Linked DNA regions of Struthio camelus. The protein of the gene in region 2 interacts with the protein of the main gene of each other region in a pairwise test. Links are inferred from orthologs where the notes say so. Each region holds a gene or a part of one and is shown on either strand. Other genes may lie near its edges.

The links.
Region 1: the proteins of MYPN (region 2) and ANKRD1 interact in a two-hybrid assay, tested with the Homo sapiens proteins (2 studies listed by BioGRID). The link is inferred for Struthio camelus from reciprocal best matches to the Homo sapiens genes MYPN and ANKRD1.

The regions. Positions count from the first base shown.
Region 1 is NC_090948.1:20,200,951-20,211,562, reverse strand, and holds the start of ANKRD1 (ankyrin repeat domain-containing protein 1), read right to left. Parts: upstream 4,303-10,612; 5' UTR 4,148-4,302; coding exon 3,899-4,147; intron 2,073-3,898; coding exon 1,935-2,072; intron 1,829-1,934; coding exon 1,721-1,828; intron 1,057-1,720; coding exon 958-1,056; intron 1-957. UniProt on the Homo sapiens protein: May play an important role in endothelial cell activation. May act as a nuclear transcription factor that negatively regulates the expression of cardiac genes. Induction seems to be correlated with apoptotic cell death in hepatoma cells.
Region 2 is NC_090948.1:38,655,714-38,666,612, reverse strand, and holds the start of MYPN (myopalladin), read right to left. Parts: upstream 5,470-10,899; 5' UTR 5,429-5,469; intron 1-5,428. UniProt on the Homo sapiens protein: Component of the sarcomere that tethers together nebulin (skeletal muscle) and nebulette (cardiac muscle) to alpha-actinin, at the Z lines.

The DNA.
Region 1 (10,612 bases), about 18 Mb from region 2:
GCCCTAATTCCTTTAGTACTGCCAGTTTCTCACTCTTTACAATCACTGCATATTGCTCTTAAAGACACAGAGTCTTGGCTGTGAGAAGGGATATGTTTTGTCAGCCATTCTGTGAACCTAGAAGTTATCTTTGGAGAGCCAGGTATGATTTTTATGGCTGATGTGTGCTATTTCATATTTTTTATTTTTATTTGATGCCTTTTGGATTCCAAAGCACACAGAACATGACGATCAAGGGAAAGAATAGTTCTCTCTTTCAAACTCTCGGAGGCTCCCGAAGTGAGTTGGAGCACTTCACCTCTGCAGTATTTGATTTCTCTCCACTAAGCTCTGTTGCAAGGGGTGGAATTTCCCTTGCAGATCTTGCTCTGCTGGTCATTCCTCATGTTTCTTACGCTACCCACAATCACTGCAGGGCTAAGCGAGGGGGAAAGAGGTTGGCTGATTCCAACTGTGTAGTAAAGGCACAAAATGCTGGGAACGGAGAAGCAAGAAAACAGCTGCAAAAGCTGTTCATACTCAGCTACCCCCATGGCCAGCATTCCAGAGGAGCAGAGGTCTCTCCTGAGCTCAGTGTTGAAATCCTGAGGGAGAACGTATATATTGCGCTGAGCCCTTGATAAAGGCGTGGGACAGTGGTATCTCCACCACCTGCTAGCAGTCTGAAGTGGTAGCCTGACCTCAGCTTTCTTATCCTTCTTTAGGCTCTGTTGTTTGTGGCAGTCTACTGGCCGATATGCTCCTCCGCTTCCTGTGTTTTCCAGCAACCGTTTTGGGAAAGTGAGGCAGACACCCCCTCTTGAAACCTCTCCTCAGCAGTGTTCTTTTAAGGATAAACTTACAAGACACTTTAATTAACAGAGGCCTTTTGCTGTTCTTCGCTGTTGTGTGTGTCTTTTGTCAGAGTTAGGAAACAATGAGCAATTTTTTGAAATGAACGTGAGTTGATGTGCATACCATATCCTGCAGTTCAAGCTGGGCTCCGGCTTCCACTAACTTTTTCACCACCTCTAGATGTCCTTCAGAGCATGCCCTGTGCAATGCAGTGCGTTTGTACTGTCAATTAAAACAGTGCAAAGTCAGATATTAAATGTGGCACAAAGAGATCTCTTTAAATCTTGTCTCCCTGCCTACCTGGGGTGATGGCAAACACACATGCTTTATGCGGATTCATTTTCCAGAGCTAATGCTTTTGAGACCTGAAATCTGCTAAATTTTAATAGCATCCTAATAACAGAGAGCTGCCTGCCCTAGCATTTTAAAGGGCATGAGGAATATCTGCAGTATGACACTGAAATTTAAAATGGTGCCTGTTGAATTCCTCCATTCAACATACTATGCTGCATTTTGCAAATGCAGCCTGTGTGTTATGGAGAATGAGAGCAGGCAGCATCACTTTTTTGTAGTTCTGCAGAAAAAAAAATCCTTATCTGACCCTCTGCGGCACTGGAAGATCACCTGGTACAGGAGGCAGGGTCTTCCAGTCCCCAGGATATTTCTTTTAAATATAAAGATTCTTTAGCTGTAACGTTACTTTGAAGTGGTCCCTTTGACACAGGAAAATGTAGTATGTCCAACTCCTGATGTTTGCTTTCTCACCCCTCCCCCTTTTCTTCACCTCAAAAGTATGGAAGCCACAAAACCTAGTGGTAATAGTTATTTTTGCTCACTAATAATCTCTCTTCTGTAGCAGGCTTTGAAGTAAGAAGAGATATGGTACCTCATCAGAGACGTCTGGATCCCCTTTGTCTGACAAATATTTTTCAATTACTGGCAACTTGTTCTCCAGTGCAGCAGTAAAGAACGTGGGTATATCCACTGGTCCTGTCTGGTGGAGAGACATACACAGCACGTAAACGCGTGTGGCAGCTCTGCAATAGTGCAAAACCCCATCGGTCCTTTCACAGAAGAAAACACTTCGTAATAGGACTTACAATAACTTCTGGTTCAGGTTCCTTTAAAATAGGTGCTTTCTCTTTCTTGCATTTTTTCTTCTTCTTCAGCTGAATAATTTTTTCAAGATCCTCCAAGTTTTCAAGTTTTGACCTCTCCTGTAATTTTTTCTTCTTGAGCTGAAACAGAGCAGGGAAGGCAGCAAGCTGAGCTGCAGCGTAAACCTCTCTGCCTTTCAGAGGGGTAGGACAGGGTGCGCTGTTCTTCAGCGGAGTTCGGCTAGGTTAAGACTGCATGAGCTTTGAACTAAGTTGCCTTTTTTTTTTTTTTTTTTTAAACAACTAGGGCTAATTAACCATTATAATACATTACTAGGGGTGTGAGAAAATCTACATCATCATACGCCCTTGGCCCCCTTTCTAAATGCTGTCTCTCTCCTCAGCCATATGTTGGGGGATAGCATAGCTTTTCTGCGTTATGCTAGGAGTTGGAGCAGCCCCACAGTCCCTTCTGGCTCAACAATTTAAGAAATCTCATGGTTAACTTATAAGGGCTGGAAAGCCCCTGCAGTTTTTACTGACTTCTACCCAGCATCTACTTTTAGGATGTAGGCTGCTTGATTTATTTTAACTTAATCCTCTTTGATGAAAAATATACCATTAAGTGAATTGCAAGGTTTATACTGATTTTAGCATTTCATTCAGGAAATGTTACATTTTGGTAAGCTACAAAGGTTGTCTCCGGTATCCTTGAGAAGGCAGTTCAGTACACGTTTAAGACTTCTTCAAGCCTACTTGAAAAAAGGATCACTGCATGAGGTCAGTATGGGGCTCTGCTAACACCAGGCACAAATGTGTTGCCTGAATTAAGGGCCAGGATCTCAAATACTATGAGGGTCCTTGTGTCCATGACTTCAGAAGGGTGACTCGCAGAAGGGTAACTCAGGGCGAAGACAAGTGACAAATTCTGCCCCGTGGTATCTTTAAGGGTAAATACACTGGTGAAGCCCTGCCATATAATAGATTTCTTTCAACTGAATTCTTATTCAAGTAATTTTGACCTCTCCTTTTTTACTGTTCACTGCATTAAGATCATTGAGTTAGTGGAAAATATTCTGTTGGCTTGGATGGGCTTTCGATCAACGGGAAATTCCAAGAACTGTTAGGACAAGGTGGTTGTTTTGGATAGAGGAACTGTAGCAAGTAATGACCTCCAGGTGGAAGGTGAAGGCCAGTAGTTGTATTTATTTCACATAATATTTTGGAAGCTCACTTTTTCATCCTTCTCTTTCAGACCAAAGCCTTATTCTCCCTGCTAGTTCAACTTCTTCATTCCCGTATTGCTCTAAGTTCTGAGGCCAAGAATGTAAAATGTTACAGCTACTGTATTTTGGGAAAAAAGAATCAGTTTGGGGGGGTATGGGAGGAATTGTCATGCTACAGAAATACAAAATGGAACTTTTCTGTAGATCGATATCACTTTCATTTGTATTTATTTATTTTTCCAAATGTGCTAGTAAGCACACTGCAGAGTTTTCATAAAAAGAATATTTGTATGGTAGGTAGGGCTTCTGGCTTCAGAAGTGCACTCTCACATCCTTGGTGGAAAGCAAAGCAGTGCCAATTTGTGAAAGCTTTCTTGCTTTAGTTATATTTGGTGGCAGTCATTAGGTGTGCCCAGCTGAAGGTATCTTAGTTTATGTTTGTTCCCCCTTACTGAGAGTTAGCAGAGGGGACTGGGCAGGAGAGAGCCCACAGGGTTTGGGGCAGACTTTACTGGGGAGTTGTGGCTACTGCCTGGAGCCATCGCCTATGAGAGCCAGCAGGTCCAGCTCTGCCTTCGATGGGCGTCAGACCAAGTACTCGTTTGGTAGCAATCTCCCAAGGGTTTGTTTAGCTAGCTCGCAAGGCATGTATTTCTTAATTAGAAAGAGACAAGACTCCGAGGGCACTGAGCAAGGTGTGTACAGGATGTCAAAAATTGAGCACAAACCTTAAGAGCTTACCTCTGCCTCTAGCTTTTTCTCTTTCTGATAGGCCAGATCTCCTCGGGTCAGTACATGTTCAGAGACTGTCTTTAGATCCTCCTGCTTCTCTAACCTTACAGCAGCTTCATACTCTCCATTTTTGAAGTCCTCGGGGAGGAAACTGCCAGTCTCTTTATCATCAGTTCTCTTCCCAGTTACCTGCAAAAGCAAATGCAATATAATATAAGCAGCAGTTTCATGACTGAAGCAGCCAGCTCCTGGGAACATGGATTACCTAGGAGCTAACTGCATGTCATTTTTTAAAGTGTCCTGCTCTAGGAGTGTGTGATAGACAGAGTGCAGACCTCACTCAGCCTGTGCCTGGGTTAACTGTGCATGTGAGCAGCTAGAGCAATCTCACTTGCAGGGAGCTCTTCCACCTCCACAGAGCCACCCTTCCCCCCCCCCCCCCCCCCCCCGTTGGCCTCTCAAGGGTTTGGTCAAGATCTATGGAGGTAAAAGGCGCTGGTGGGAAGAGCCACCCTGAGCAGTGCCCCGTGAGCAAGCAGAGTGAGAGGAGAGGCCGTCTCCCTTGGGACCTTACACTTAGAGTGAAACACACAGTGCAATTAAATAAGGTTGCTGAGTAATTTCAAGGCTGATCTTACCCATTGCTGTCAATACCAAAGTCCCCATTTATAGCACTTAGCAAGATAGCATAAGGTGGTTCCTGTGAACAAGCTGTGGGATGCTTGATTGTTTTTGCTGACAGTTTTGAATAGTTTTTGGAGATATGCTTGATGAAGTGTGTCCAAAGAGATCACATGTTAAACTTAGTGGAGGGTGTGGTATATTTTGAGAGTAGCTCAGTAAATTCATCTGATATGGACTGGCTTTTCATTCAATCACCCTTGTAAAATTATGTTTGTCACAGAGTTTAACACTAGAGAAATTGGCAGGGCCTTGCCAAAAGAGTTTAACGCTAGAAGAAAAGGCAGAGCCTTGCCCAAGAATTTAAGACAGCATTAACTAGTTAGGCTTTATGGTAGTTTCATCTTAATTTACCCATCTGGAAGGAAAAGGAGTTTCCTTATAATATTCCAATGTTGTAGTGGATTGTCCCTCTTTATTGGTCAAATCAAGAATAATTTGTCTGAACTCTGCAATGGAGTCCCTTTGGTCCCATTACTTGTGGTTTGGTTTAGATGTTATTTTTCAAAGGCTTTTTACACCGAGAAAAGTAGCAAGTGCAAGAGCTGTTAGTAATGCTTAATGTTGGATTAAAAAAGAAAAGGTTTGGTTTCCCTGTATTGAGACCTTCTCCTAATCCCTTACTGGACTGGAATTATCTGAGTGATCATAAACATAATAGCTTTTAAAAAAGTCAAAATCAAGGTCAAAAGAAAATACACAGCTAATTTTTGATCAGTCTGTTCATCCTGGTGAAATATCTGGTGATGCGAAACCCATGCAGCTGTGTAGTGGTATCAGTGGTGAGTTCCCTTCCCAAGACAAGGTTAAAGTGAGAATATGTTAGGATAACATACACAATTTTTATACCTAAAGCACAGCATTAATGGTCACCCTCTGAATCACCTCAACAATCCACAAAGGTTGTCTCTTTCTGACTGGTACAACAGTTCAGGAGGAAAAATAACTATGAATAAATGAAAGAAGGTTGTACCTACCAGCTCTTCAACTTGCATCATCATCATATCTGCCAGTGGTTGAGGTTGTACTCCTGCGTGGATGAAGCTCCCAAGGGCTCAAGTAAGCTCTGCAGGGGCCACCACCCTGGCTTTGCTTATATATCTTTGGGAGAACTTTGCGTGAATGAGATAATCTTCCAACCTGGGAATCCAAGTATGCCGCTGGGGTTTGCCAGCTAGGAGGTAGGTTCACACTCATTCCAGACATGTTAACTAGCCAGCTCTGGTGTCCCGAGGAGGGGGGGGGGGACCTCAACCGGGGGGGACGGTCCAGTCTCTCTGTCTCACTGCCCCGCATGTGTGAATCGGAACGAAATGTGAGATCATCGTTCCTTCGGCAGTGACTGAACGGCTCAGCAATGCTAGTCATGCTGTGTCCCCGGTGCCCACTAGGACAGCTGTCTGTTGATACAGCGTTACGACGGCTTTTCTTTTTCTTTTCTTTTCTTTTTTTTTTTTCAAACCGACTTTCAGCTGACTGGAATCCACTGGAAAGGGTAAGTTGCTTATGTGCGATACTTGTAGCAATGTTTTCCTGATAAGTGGATGAGGACCCCCTTAAGTTTTGGGAAGCCATTCTTTTCATTGCTGTTTATTCTTGGATGGTAAACAGTGTTAGGGGAAAGGATTTTTCTCATCATGATGGCACTCTCCTATATTTGTTGGAAGGAATTCTCTGAAGGGATTACTGAGCCAGAATGATGTCTCTGGTGCTAAAAGGGCCTATGACATGATAAGTTACAATCAGTGAAAGGTCTCAAAACAGTAAGCTTTGCATTTTTCTGGGACGTTGTCAGTAATTATAAGCAGAATAATAAATTAAGCCTATTATGCCAAAAAAGTAAAAGTTGGATTGTTTTCTCAGGTAATATTTTCCTTTTGAATGTGAGAGAATAGGGGCACAAATGTGACCTCTTCACTTTTGGTGATGAGACTGGGTAGAGGCAGATACATAGAAATGTTGGGTTAGTTTTGAGCGAAAAGAGATTTTTGAGTCCTTTGGAAGAAATTAGAGGGGCAAGATTTTCTTGTGCCACAAAACAGAATAGCTTGAGAGCAGGCTGATGAACACCAGCAAAAGGCAATTTTATAAAAGGAAGATCCACTAATCTGTGCATTTAGAGAGTGTGGATAAATGCCAAGAAAATCAGTTCTGTCATTATCCCGTGCTTAGCACTTCTATGTGGTGAGCATAGGCCTTGCTTTAGGTGTTCAAGTCACTTGGTTGAAATCAGTGCAACTACTCAGGTGCTTAAAGTACAATATGCACTTAAGTGCTTCACCAAATCGAGTCCTAAATATATTGGGTGTTGTTTATATCATTAGCATCATTAACAGGCTGTGTTTCTGATACTGACCTTTCAAGGTGTCTCTACTCTTCTGATCTCCCAGTAATTTGAGTACATCCAAACTTGTCTTCTAGTCCCCATCGTACCTATGACCTCCCTTTCCCTGAAATGGAGCTGGACATCAGGTGGTTCCTTTACTACTCAGAATATATATGACATTACAGAATGAGCCCCAGAACTAAAATAGAGTATGTGGCAGCAAGAGAACCTTTCAGAACATTTTTTTCCAAACCTAAGTACAGCCAGGATATCACTCCCCTGCAGTGGTATGTCCTGAATCACACTTTAGGATTTTTTTTCGCAGCAGTTTTGTACCCCTGCTGTATGTTGCTGTGGTAAGAGGCCGCTCTGTTTGGCTTTTTCATGTTTGCAAATGTGCTGTAACAGGTGATTTCAGCCTGTTTCATTCTATGGCTCTTCTCTTATCTGGGAAATTGTCTTGACATCCACAGTCGTAATAGAAAGGCTGCAAAGACCTCTTCTCATTTCAGGGAAACAGGTTACAGCAGAGAGCTGACGTGGGAAGGGAGGTGTAGGGCTGGTTAGCAGTTTGCCTGAAGAGCAAAAACTGTTTAAGAAGCTGTGAACTACCTCAGGCCTCGTTATATTTGAACCTTACTTTTCCTTTTTTATGCTTTCCATTTTTTTTCTTTTTCCACAGCCAGACAGATAAAATGGACTCAGCAAAACATAGACTAGAAGGTTTAAGTGGAGAGAGCTTTCTGTGCAAGTGCTTCATAAATCAAACCTAGACTAGCTTTACAGTAGACCTCAGCGCTCCGAGGGGAAACACAAGCCCACTTTTGTGGTACAGGTTCCTCACAGCGCTACCAAAGAAAACAGCCACATTCAATAACTTTCTTTAAAGCATAAAGAGGCTAAAGAGAATAACAAGGAATAAAAAAGAATCTTCCTTGATAATGCTGAGTACAGCAAAGGGTGGCACACAGAAACCTCCTTTAACCAAGGGCTGGAGTCTAAATTAACCTAGTGGGTAAGTGCTTTTGAGCTAAATGTCATGTAAAGCAAGGCAACCCTACTGAAATCAGTAGAAGTATACACATTCGTATCAGCTAAGACTCTAATTCAGATGCTTACCGCTACTGCTTAATATTGGAGGCAGAAGGCTGGCAACCTTATGCTGGACTGTAACCGCTTAATCACCTTTCAACAAGTGATTTCTCATATCTCTGTTAAGTTAGTAATAGGAGATGGTCAGTGGGAGATGTGTAACGGGAATCTGAAGAACAGTGGCCAGCAGGGCAGAGCAAAGATCTGCAAGAGGCAAGGCAACCGGGTATTGTCACAGAAAGACTTCACAGACAGAAACAGGAGCCCAGCAGGCTCAGCATGAGAGAGGGAAAACTATAGGGCACACCCTGTTCCCTGCTGTCAGAGAAGTTGTTTGAATAGTGCAAAGAATTTTTTAAAATTAATTTTAAAAGAGGTTAATGGTAGAGTGAAAGCATTAGGTTTGGTACAAGTGATATTGCCACCTCTTGGGAAGTGTATTACCAGCATATTTTCAGTGCTGTCATTGCCTTACTTGGCTATCTTACATTTTCCAGAACACTGCCCTTGGCTCTGTCCTTGCCTTGGAAGATGTTGCCCTTTGCAATGCCTTTGTGCCTGGCTGTCTCTGTCCATCTCCTGCTGCTAAATAAGTAAAGGTGTGAAAAAATCAGTTGCTGAGAAGTGATTATGCACTTAAGAGGGTATTAATCCAGCAAACTATGTTCCATGAGTGTGCAGTCAGGGCTAATTGCATAACTAAGGTACACCTGAGAAACAGTAACCCAGAGCTTATTTCCTTCTGGATTTGGGATCTGTCAGTGTTTAATGGCTTGTTTATTTTTTTATATGTATGAGCATCCAGCGTATCTAACGTATATGTGCACCCAACAGAGCAGTAAATCATAGTACATTGCAGGAACTATATTTTTTTTCTTCTTCTTTTTTAACTCTTTCTTTTCCCCTAAGAGGCAGGAAGCATTTTTATTTGCCTAACAGATAAACTATTTGATATTTATTGTCACAAAGCAGTTTTGGTAGGAGCTAAATATAATATGCAAATTATGTCACTCATGCCCTAGCTTGTTCAACACATTGATATATATGTCTGTCTGTTTTTTTCTAAAGTGAACAGGGAATTATTACATTATCTGCTTAAAACAGCCCAGAGACTTCTCAGCAATATTTTTGTGTATAAAGCTGCTACAGAGAAATACGTTGTCCCCTTACAAGGGGAGGGGAAAAAAAAAACCTGCTTCACTTAAGAATGTAAAGTTAGTGTTAACTGCAAAATTAGAATATAAGAAATTATTAAACTAACAGAAGGATGTGGCTATAGATTCCATTTGTTCAGATCATCTGTTATAAAAGAAACACGGAAGTCTCATAGTCTGGCAGGTTTTTAGTCTGAACAGAACAGTCCTCCAGTGTCAAAACCCAAAATAGCAGTGAGTTGATAGTTGCATCACTTACTGTAGGGCTAAAAAAACCCACCTCAAATGTCATTAGAGTTAGGGTTTTCACATAATAGAAAAAGTAGTGATTTATATTCAAAACCAAAGGATTTAAATGCATCACAGGCCTTGAGTTTTATCATGATGACATTCATCTGCTGCATGTGAATCTCACTAATTCACCTTACGTGTTCTCGGTTAGGAAGCAAGTGCAGTCAAACACACCAGAACGGTTGTTGCCTGTGGTCAGATGGGTTTATCCGCTGGCCGCTTGGCCTCCGTAGCCAGCAGCCTAGTTCAAGGCCCCGCTTATCCATCTCACCTATGACAATGTTCTGTTCATGTAACCTCTGACTACTTTTTTGTGTATTCAAGTAAATACAGTATTCCCTCAGCAGTTGCAAAAAGGCTTGATGTACAGATATGGAGTTGTGTAAAAGGTTTCTGCCGTTCACACTTACAAACACCCCTAAGCCCTTTAGAAATGGAAAGGTCTTTAAACTATAGAAGAAACTAAAGAAGTTATTAACCTTACATTGAGAGCATGCCTGCATAATCCTGATTATTTGAGTCATAATCTAACGTAATCCAACAGGCACCTACCCTGGCCAACTGCGCAGCAGTAAAGCATATCCGGTGCTTTGAACTGGCAGCAAGGGTGAGTCTAGCCGCGCTCCAGATAAGATGTGACAATTTTTTAACTTTCCTTTGCTGTTTTATTTCAAATTTCATGCTGTCTAACTTAAAGCCTCCAGTTACTAAATCTTGCTCCGCCCTCACCTGAAAGTTTGAAGTACTCCTTCCATCCCGATAGCATAGTGCCTTTTGGCTATGTACATGTAAGGGAATGCTGTGTGATACAAACAGCTGCCTGAAATGCTGCCTAGCATTGACAGGGCTGTTCTTTGTTGATGCAGAAAAAGCCCCAGGTCCTGGCTGTCCTCCTCTCCACTGATGCAGCACAACCAGTAGCTCAGGAGATACAGGACAGCTCCATCTGGCAGTGGGGCCAGAGGCCGTGGGCTGCTTTTGAGGGGGCAATGGTCGCTTGCGACTGCCCACTCCAGTTCCACTCAGCGAAGATGGCACGTTTCCCTTCAATGCTGCTCAGGGGCAGTGGCCAACTAACATCTCTGTCTCTGGAGAGCATCACAGCCAAAGGCTTGTGCTTCAGCCTTGATATCACTTTTGCAATGTTCTCTGAATTCTCTCCAGGGTTTCTACTGTCAT
Region 2 (10,899 bases):
GGACAAGGTCTCTGGGCTGGAGAGCAATGAGGCTGAATTCAATGTATTTTCCAAAATATCTATTCAAACCTTCTTTCCAGTGAGCAAAAAAGGTGCTAACGGAGGAACAATTGTGCTATCCTAGGTTGATTAACGATTAGTAATAATGATGATGATGAAGTTAGCCTTCATATAGCCAAAATTCCTATTTTGGCTCCTATCATCTAAGCTGCAAAACTAAGATCCAGGTTTGAATCTTGTCTTTCTCTTTGCTTGACCGTATGAATTGTTTAGATTAGGGATGAGCAATTGCCCTACCTATGCCTTCCCTTTAATTTTTTCTGATTGGGACTTTGGAAAAAAAGGGTCTCTGTGGCCTCACAGAAACCACCCCACACTCCACCAGCACGTATTGGGATAAACCTCTGGGAGAGGCAGTGTGTGACCCACTGCTGTCATCTCAGGGAGCAAAAAAAAATGTATACAGTAATCACGGATATTTCTGCTGAGCTGTAAGGAGCAAGCAGTAAGAAAGACAAACTCCGGGAAAGACACACTAAATAGCACTCTGTGCTGTCAATGAAAGCACCAAGAATTTTGCAGACTGAAAAATCTCTGTCTTAATGAACCAGTACCAAGGGAGGGAATTGCAAATAATGCCTCTAAACTGCTGTCATTTAGAATTGAAAATGGGATGACTCCAGCAGTCAACAGTTCTCCCTCCCTGACTGATTCATATTACCTACAATATCAAACAGCTAGTGCATTGAGGGCAACATTTTTTTGCTCTCCCTGTCAACCAGGACACTAGCAGCAGTGACTTTGGGCACCTATTATTATTAAGAAGCATCAGAAGGTGTCACAAACAAGACTGACTGCACTTACTTCTTCAGGCTGTTGAGCTAGTTTCCGTTAGCCAGCTAGCTGCACAAGCATGCTGTGCCTGTATTTTATTAACAAAGTGATCTTTAGGATAAAATACACATAAAAATACACATAAAATTAGCTTCCACAGTTTGTTTTGGCAACGGGTTGACCTAAAAATCATTTTGTGGAAGCTTGTGCTGGGAGACTCGATGTACCCTTTTATTCCCTGTCGCATGAGGCTTGTTAGACCTGCTGCTGAGTCGTTACTGAAAGAATCTGCGCTTTTCCTAAGAAAACAGCAATAGTCAAATCTCAGCAAAGCTGAAGGGATTCCTGGATATGTCTGAGTGCAGGTCATCTGTTTTGGTTGATGAGAGATCGCTTTGAATGCTTAATGGCCTAAAGACAGTTTTTTTCAGACAAACACTCCTCCACTTAACTGTAATAAAGAGGTTAGCTGCAGATGAAGCATTTAAACACTTTATTTGGCCTTGAGTTGGATTTAAAAATGAATAATTTAGTCAATACATGTGTTCCTGTCTGGCTTTTCGAGATACCATAAGTTTCATATGAGACTGTTTTTCTGTGAAACCCGAGTATCAGAACATTGAGCAAAGCTGCTTCTTTCTTTGCATAGTGGCACCTTTGTGGGCTTTACACAATGAGGCTCTGGACCTGGATGTCCAGCACCTCTATTTGGAAACTGGAGGGTATGGCCAATATTCAGGCTATATCCTTTTCCAATTACTTTAATTGCAAATAAATTCCATTTACCTGTACACTATTGAACACTAACAATCGTATGGGTGTTTCAACTGTACGATAACAGCTATGAAAATCAAGCTAAGAGATGACACAAGTGATCTGTCTTCCAGACATTTAAAGATCACAATCACATTCTTCTGTGCTTGCAGGAATTCTCACTTAGCGGTTACCGCTGTCATCGTTTCCGGTTACTGCCAGTTGACATGCAATAGCTGCTGTAAGACAGACTTTGAGACTCCAGGCAAATGAAAGGGTAGGCTGGAGCAGAGGACTAAGGTTAGCTGTCTTGTGTGTGTTTGGGGCAGGGGGGGTAAAATATTTTTAATAACTGTTTTTAGAAAGCTACTTAAAAGAAAGTGATTTACTTTTTTGTTTTAAACATATTAGTACTTTTGAATTCCACTTCTTGTAATGAATCAGAAAGTCAGGTAACTAAACTTTCATTTCCAAGTAATGTAATTAAACAATGGAATTTAAAGAGGGATCCTCCAAGCCCAGGAGTGTAACAGCATCGGATGGAAACAATACTCCCCTAAGAACAAGTAGGCTAAAGATTATGTCCGTGTTTAGGAGACGTTCTGTTTCGTCATGTGTATTTTTTCAATATCAACTTTTTAATATTCTAAATATTTTCTCTAGTCTCGAATCCTTTTTATAAATTCCTTAAAACTGATCTGGAATAAATAAATAAATTTGATTGCAAGTTTAGAAGAGGCTAGTAGTTGTATCTTGCCCACTGTTATATAATTTTGTAAATAGTGAAGAGATGGGTAGGGGTCTTTTAAGTATCTTCACATACTGCTGCCATTGGCTTGAATGTAAATACTGTTCAAGAGATTTCTTAACTGTAGTTATAACTGATGTATGGCTACTGCTGCTTCTGTTCAGATAAGTAGAATGAGGCCCTCTTCTGTAAATATAACCTCTAATAGCTCAGCTTGTGCCCTGAGCTTCATTGCAGTATAAATCTGGAGTAACTTTATTTACACTGCCCTGGATTTACTTGGAGTAGCTGTGAATCACTCTCCCTCACCTCCCAGCCCATCTGTTTGTAAATGCCAAACAGTTAAATTTTTAAGCAGTTTCAAGTAAAACGCAAAAACTTTTCCTCTACAGCCATGAGCATTAAAGCTGATAGGGAGCTAAAGGGAATAAAAAAGGAAAAAGGTAAATATAAAACATCCAATATTTGGAATTTGGGGAAATTTCATTATTTTTAAATAAATCTTTAATGATTTGGGAGTTGGATGATGCCTCATGTCTTCTGATTACTTGTGACTATGGAATGGGGCCTTAACTGGTAAAATTACTTCTAAACTCCCTTTACACCTAAATTCCTACCTGGGTTGTCATGACAAATGGAATATAGAATTATCTATATATAGTTAAACAATATAATGCCAAATAATAAATAATTATAATTTACAGAGCTATATTTAGCATGTGAATACTTTATGAACATGATGTAAATAATATCAAACCGCAAGCAAATGATTTGAAGCTCAGACTATCTAAAAGAGTCTATATTTCTGTAGCAGAGGATCCATCTAGACTGCTTTTTTGAGTGGTACTGGTTTCTTCTACAATTCTTTTCCTCTTGTTTGGAAGCATTTGCCATTTTATCCATAGGCATTGAAGATGACCCAAAAGGTAAAAGCACCTATTTTGCAAGAAACTTCTAGCGCTAGAGATGTGAGAGGTGGAATGTGTTCTCCTTCGTTACCACTGTATTTTTGTCCCTAATGTCTCTTCCTTTTCCCACTGACAGCATAATCACACAGCCCACAAAAGAAAAAATAAAAGAGTTGAACTTTATCCTCTCAGAAATGGGATGGGATAAATCTCCTCTCCATATCACTCCACAGAAGACGCTCTAGTGAGCATATGCTCACTGGAGTCATGCCCTTGAATACTTACTCACCTGGCCTGTGACCTCAAAGTTACAGTACGGAGGCATCCTAAGCGGTGTGAAATATTTAACTCTTCTTCAAGGAAAAAGCATGCTCAAATCTCTTCATCTTTTTAAACAGTTCCTTCATACTGTCATATAATAGAAAGACCTTTGTGTTCTTTTAATCTGATCACAAAAAAGTATTTATTTTTTCATGTTTAATATTGTCCCTTAGTAGCGCTCAAAATGAGAACTTAGACCCTTTCTCACCCTTGCCTCAAATTCTTTTCCTCCTCAGTGACTCTTCTTGAACTACAAGGTAAGCAATATCTTTAAGAAAATGCAGATAAGGTCAAATTGAAATTAAAATAATTTTAGCCTGATTTTTAAACTAGAAGGTCAAAAAAGAGAACAGATGGCTGCAGTCTTTGAGAAGTGCCAGGGGTGCTCCTTCATCCTCCTTTCCCATTGGCCTGTGAAGGCTGAGCCGCAGATGAAGTACCACACTCAGAGTTTGTCCTAACAAGTGCTGTAGGACAAGTTTTTATTGACTTAAGTAATGCTTGCAGTCCAGTTCCCTTCAGGGATTAACCCTATGAGAAAGAGTTTACACGAATGACTCAGAAACATAGAGTAAGTCCACAGTTTGGTGCTGAGTGTACATACAGAAGTCCACAATGGAAGATAAGACTAACAGTGAAAAATGTTCTTTTACTCTGGCCCAAATACAGGCAAAGTACACTGTAAGTCTTTCATGGTTAAAACTGCAAATTCACTTCCACTGTGACCCAAATGATTTATACTAGGTCATTTCTACTATTCCTGTTAACTGTATGAGTGAGCGGTGCAGAGATCCACAATGCATGAGGCTGAGGACTGCTGGAAGGTCTTAGTTCAGGACTGAAGGTACAGCTTAGCTTTAAGGGCTACAAAGTGATTTAAAAATGTTGTACATGCTGACTCTAGACTGACAAATTATAATAATGCATAAAGTGCTGTAATGATCATTTTCATGACTTAAACACCGAGCAACATTCTCTGTGTTGGACCCATGCATCTAAGTGGCACTGATATCAAGGGAATTGCCAAGGTGTATCTGAAGACCAGAAAACTTGTATAGCATGTATAGCCAGACGGGGCAAGCACAAACTGGGCAAAAAAAAGCCCTGAAAAGCAGTCATTCTGTTTTGGAGGTATGTAGTCTAAATGGCATTTGCACATCTTTTGGTTCAGTAATTTTAAAACTATGGGCTGTTTTATTTTTCAGACAAGGTTCAGTTGTCATACAAATACTGGTTCCTAGCGAGAAAGGAAATTTGAGCCTTAAATGAGACATAAAAGAAATCTGGCTTGTATTTTTTGTACAAATTTTTTGTCTAATTGCACCTTTCACTCTTTTTTCACACTCTCACAGTATTTTTTCTGGTATTCTTGCTTTTTTCACTTTTTTTTTTCAGTCTCCTATAAGAACCTTGCAACATTAAAAAAAAAAAATCACACTGGATTCATATTTACTAATTATGATGTTTAAGTGGGATTTCAATTAGGCAGAATTAATTTGCCCATCCTTGTAGGATATTACTGTTTATGAAAACAAGTACTAAACTAGTTAATAGAACAGGATACTGTTTTTCGGGGGGGAAGGGTTTGTTTGGTTGGATTTTTTGCCAGCGATTTAGGCTATGATTTAGATTGCATTGTCCGATTGCAGTTATGGTTGTATTCTTCATGTTCTCTCTCAGCTTCTCTGCCTTTGATAGTCTGGCAAGTATAAAACTTTACTCCTGAACTGACTGTAATTGATATCTGATATGTAAATAAGTAATTCTGTTCAGCTACCAGAACTTAGAAACTTCCTCTTGTTGTTTTAATTCCGTTAGCCCTTTCTGAAAGAAGAAAAAAGAGGAAATAAATAATTATCCTGACCTTATGAACCTTTAGGAGGTGTAGAAGAGGGAGAAGAGCAGCGATGAAGTTTATGAAATGGTTCCATGAACAGTTGCTGATTTTGTTTTCACTCTTAAACTCTAGAGCTTCTTCACAAATGTAAACCTCATGACCAAAACAAAACTGCTGATAAAGCAAGCGGTGCCTTTAGCATGATTTGTATAAAGTTCTGTTGATGTAAACTCAAGAGCTACTCTGTTCGCTTGTAAATTGTTGACGTATTATTTTGTAAAATTTAAGATGGGCTTCTGATTACTGCTTAATGCTGCAATATATTGGGCCAAACATTTGCCACTGACAGTCAAATACTTTTCAGAGAGAGAGAGAGAGAGAGGGAGAGAGAGAGCGCGCAAGCAAGGGAGATAGAGAGCTCAAGGGGGAGAGCAATGCCCTTCTAGCAGGACTGTCTCTGCAGCTGTTGTGTACATTAATCCAGAGAGCAGATCTCCCAGCACTAAATATAGCCAGCGGGGTCATTTTACATGACAAAATAAATAAATAAATAAATAATAGAAAGTATTTAACTATCAGGTCGTGTTAAATTAGGCTTGATTTTGTTTAAGAGGGAGATTCAAATTATGGTATCTTAGTTAAAGAGTGAATACCAGAATGTAATTATTTCAGAACTTGGAGGGGAAAAAAAAGCTGGAAGAAAAATACAGTCTGGCAATGAACTTTTCAGGTCGTTACTATCTTCTGTTGACTCTTTGGAGGAGACAGACTGGCTCCAAGGGAGTTTTGAGAACACCACCAGTGCTATTCGAGCCCTTTATAATGCTGCGGAACACTGTTTCTCTTTCGTTGTAATACACATGCCCCAGCATAACTTGTCAGTCACTTGAAAAATGATTTGTTCCCTGTATATGTCTTATCAGCAATAATTAGCATTAAAATATACTTGCTCATCAAACCCCTCTATACATGTGCAACAAAATCAAAACACAGACCAATCTAAAGTTGAGGCATTACCTTTTTTAATTGTTCCAGATGTTGCTGCCCAGCCCTGGCAGTAAGTAGAGATGACAGTTATCCAGAAGTGTGAGATTAAAGTTACGGAAGCAAGGGAATTCTTCGAGTCTTTAGGAACAGAAACAGCTAGGAGTCCATACAACGAAGGAAGTTAACCTTCGTTTTTCTGAGGATGGCTGTACGAAGCTGGACAACCTGTCACCACCGGAGCAATAGCGTTTGTCAGTTTGCAGGTCCCAAGTTATTTTGAGCAGCGTAAACCATGTGCCTGCGGAGCATTCCACCTCATTGGACAGGAGAATATCGGGCAAAGGGATTCCACCGCTCTAGCAGCACCTATGGGCGCTGAGTGCCGTCTCCGTCCCCGCCGAACGTCCTCTATAGATGCTTTTGCAGGTTTTGCTGATTCATCCAAGGGGCAATGTATTTGCATTGTACTACCCTTGTCCGCCTGCTTTATGCTTCAGCGTTTTAAATGCAATTGTTCTTGTTATTATCCTTATGTTTTGATCAGGACTCAAGGATTACCATCACTGGGAAACCCACTAACAGGTAACAATTTAAAAGTTTTGCAGCTCCAAAGACAAACTGGGCAAAAGTGTGTGTATGTCTTATTTTTAAGAATACACTATTCCTGACTTCTTCTCAATGTTCAATTCAATAAACAGTGCAACAATGCACAAATCCTTAAAGATGGCCTTTAACTGCAAGTCCTCACAAAGCTAGATCTTCTAAAATGGTTGCTGAATGCACAGAAGTAAACTGTCTGGAGAAAAATAGCTAAAAGCGGTAACTGAAACTTAACTGTAAGTAAAACTGAAATATCAACATATGTGAAATAATTTCAAAATATTTTAAGCAGTACACAGAGAAAGCCTATTATTATGTAGAATACCACTGTAAAATTGAGTTTCTGGTTAAAAACATGAATGACTAAAACCTACTGTATCACTTGGAAAATGTAGAGATTTTCTTTTCTACTCATTCTAGATACCAGCAACAACAACAACAACAACAAATCAATATTACTAAACTTGCCGGCTTATCAAAAATGATGCTTGATTATTGATATATTATTTTATCAAAAATGTTGGTCACAACTCCAGTTTTAGAAGACTATATAATGATATGTATGTATTATGGGAAGTTGGTAGATGGCCCTTTCCACAGCTAATGATATAATTACCTGACCTTTAGACCTTCTTCCAATTTTGTCAAAATGTATCAAGGGAGCTCCTTTGCTAGCAAAGAGGTTCTTTCATGGGATGTAGTACTCAGGAAGGATGTTTTACATATGACTTTTTCATACTGTGTAACAGTATGAAAAATTATAGATAAAGGTAAATCTCCTTATGTCTTGAAGGTGGTTTTCTTTATTTTTTTCTCTCTCTTTCTAAAATATTATTGTCAGAATAGCTTGTGGTTTCTTCAGTGATATGGAGAAGTTGTATAGTGAATCCAGTCCTCCTTTTGGGGACAGGATGGGAGTTTTGTGAATTTGATGATGTCTAATGCAACTTTATACCTGGAATGGAGGTCTAGTGTGCTCTTTTATAATATCTGTAACAGTTGGTATGAGCCATTCAGTGCTGACAAGAAGTGGATATTGATGCTGGACTCACACTGCTGTAGTTCGGACATTACAGTTTCTATAGATAAAGATTACAAAATCTGGAGCCTGAAAATGAGGTCTAATGTGTCTGATAAAATAACTGTAAATCCATGTAGACGTCTACTGAGATATAATTATTATAAAAATGTGGTATAGTCACTCCTGGTGTAGTAACTGGCTGGCTGTAGGCAGTAATAAACTGCTTGAATTACTTACACTTGTAAAAAGTTCCTATTCAAAATGAACATACATTTTTAATCAGACTTTAGAGTAACTCCTTACAGATTATATTTGGCACTAATTTATATGTCTTTAAATGGCTTAAATTTGGGGAGTTTGGGCAGGAGGGGAGAAGTGGATTTATTTAATAGCTAAATAATCTGACCAGACTGCTAGATAATAGATAATTCTGTAAGTGATTTGCTAGATATAAACAGAGGTTCGACTCTACAATTTGCTGCATGACCCAGCAATTCAGCTGACAAAATGTGCTAAAATTATGGAAATCATGCAAAATTCTCTATCCTTAGGTCAGTAGCAATTACATAGCTTTTTGGCTTCCACACAGAATCAGGAAGCAAATTTAACTATTCTTGACTTGGGCAATTAAGAAAATAAGTAGGAGACCAGCAATTTGCAAACAATTTAAGCAGTGCATAGCCATTTAGCGCATGATATGCAAAATTAAGCAGTCCAAAGTGATTATTCACTGCAAACCATCTGATCCAAACATATATGCAAAAATTTCTACTGCAAAAGAGGTTTTTATATCAGATGCTAGAATTGCAAAATCATTGAACAAACTATGCAACAAATGAACTAAGGATTATAGAGAAACAGTCGCACTGAGAGACCTTAAAAGTTATGAGCCTTTACTGTGACAGTAAGACTGACTATAGTAACAGCAAGCGGTCCAAGGACAAAACTTATAGGAATCACAAGAAGTTATGGCATACACAGTAAACATGCAGGTCATTGCAAAGCTATCATCTTGGTAGAGCAATATCAGAGAATGTCAAATTTTCTGGTTTGCAGATGACAGCTTAGAGTCCATGGAAAATACTGTTGTATCTCTGTTACTACATTTTTAGAAGACAGTAAAGTCAGGCCTTTGACTGCTGAGCACTAAAAAAATCTTACTGCAGTACTTCACGATACCACAACCTCCAGCTTTATGTGCTTTTGTCTTTGCTGGTCAGCAGAAGGGAACATCTGCCTCTCTGGGATAAGACTCAGCACCCGAGAATAAATTACGTGAGCACCAGACATGCTGGCATTTCTCAGATCTTGTCTGTCAGAGCTCAAAGTACTCTTTGGATGACTTTACAAGCAGAAGGAATGAGTCTTGAAATGGAACTTGATGCATGCCTGGTTGGCTGTTGTTCCCCAGTAGGATTATCAGACTGCAATTGCAAGAACTTTCAGGTTTTCTCATAAATGGAAAATTCTTGATTTCTAGATGTTATGATGAAGTTAATATCGTCCCATTAATGGTATGCGCTGAACCATTGAGAAATGAAATGGATTATGCATTGTTTGGCAGAGAGCAATCATTAGAAATTCAGGTGAACTACCCAAAATTATATGATGAGTCTGCACTGTCTCTTGGGGTCATCTGAAGGCTTCCTCAATACTAGCCATACTGTCAAGTCCAACAATGAGCTTGCAAATAGGCCTGCGCCTGGAAGGTGCCCTCTGAAGTACGGTATTGGAGAGTTTTAGAAACTTAGAACATAAGAAAGAAAATGGTACCTGAAGATCTGAAGAACACATTATCCTTTACAACATTGATCTACCACCCTTTTTTTTTTTTTTTTTTTTTTGATAGCTCAGAGAAGAGGCAGGACTTAGCATTTACAAGGCTCTGGTACACTATCCCAAAGTCATTGAAGCAGGTGAGCACTTTTTTGGGGGGCAAGTGGGTAAATAGATAGGGCTGCCCTAGTTGTAGTGATTTCAAGGTTGCCCTTAAGGCAGTAGTACATATAGGACAGTATCATGTGCCTAGCATATAGCATGTCTTTGCCTCATTAGTTTCGAGTAAGAAATTCTTCAACTCAAGCTACCTCAGGCTCACAATTACATATGTACAAAGGTTTATTTCAGTTTTAGAGGTTAGTGCTGGAAACAGTGCTGACAGCTGCTGGTTGGCAGTAAGCTTTGGGACAGATATTACAGAGCAGCCCTGACTAGTTAGATAAGATACCTATCACAGAAGCTAGTGAGGAAGAACTTCAAAAAAGTCTTCTGAGCAGGAATCCAGCCTTAGAGCGAAAGGCACATGGCTGAGGGCTGCTGGCATTTACTGCCAAAGGAGCATCAACTTCAAGTGGGGCTAGAACCAGAGAGAGGGCAAAGGCCACGAGCCAGCTGAGACTGACCATACACATGGAGATCAGAGTGAGCCACAGGCAGCCCCAGAAGGAAAAGAAATGATGGTGCACCAAGCTGAGCCTTAGCAGTGCAACTCCCAGGAAAGAGCACCACAAAGAAAAACTTGCTGGCAACCTATTTTAACGGTTGGTTTCTGAAGGGTCTGTGATTTTAATGAAGCTCAGCTAGACTAGACCAGGCCACTTTCAGATCTGCTGCAGTTGTTTTATGTACAGCAGCTGTCACTATGTCTGTTTGGAGATCAAAGCAGGTCTGAGTGATTGTTTCTGCTGTTACTCTTTAAAAGCAAGTACATGAAATGGTACCAAAGCTCAGGTGATTCCTCATACCTCATTCAACCAATGGTCTAATTGTGTACTGTGGACACACCAGTCAAAAAACATGTGCAGACGTTTGAGTCACAAAGTGACCTAAGGAGCACAAGCACAATTCTGCTTCCTCCTGGAGCCGATCAGTCACTAGCAGCACCCCCTGC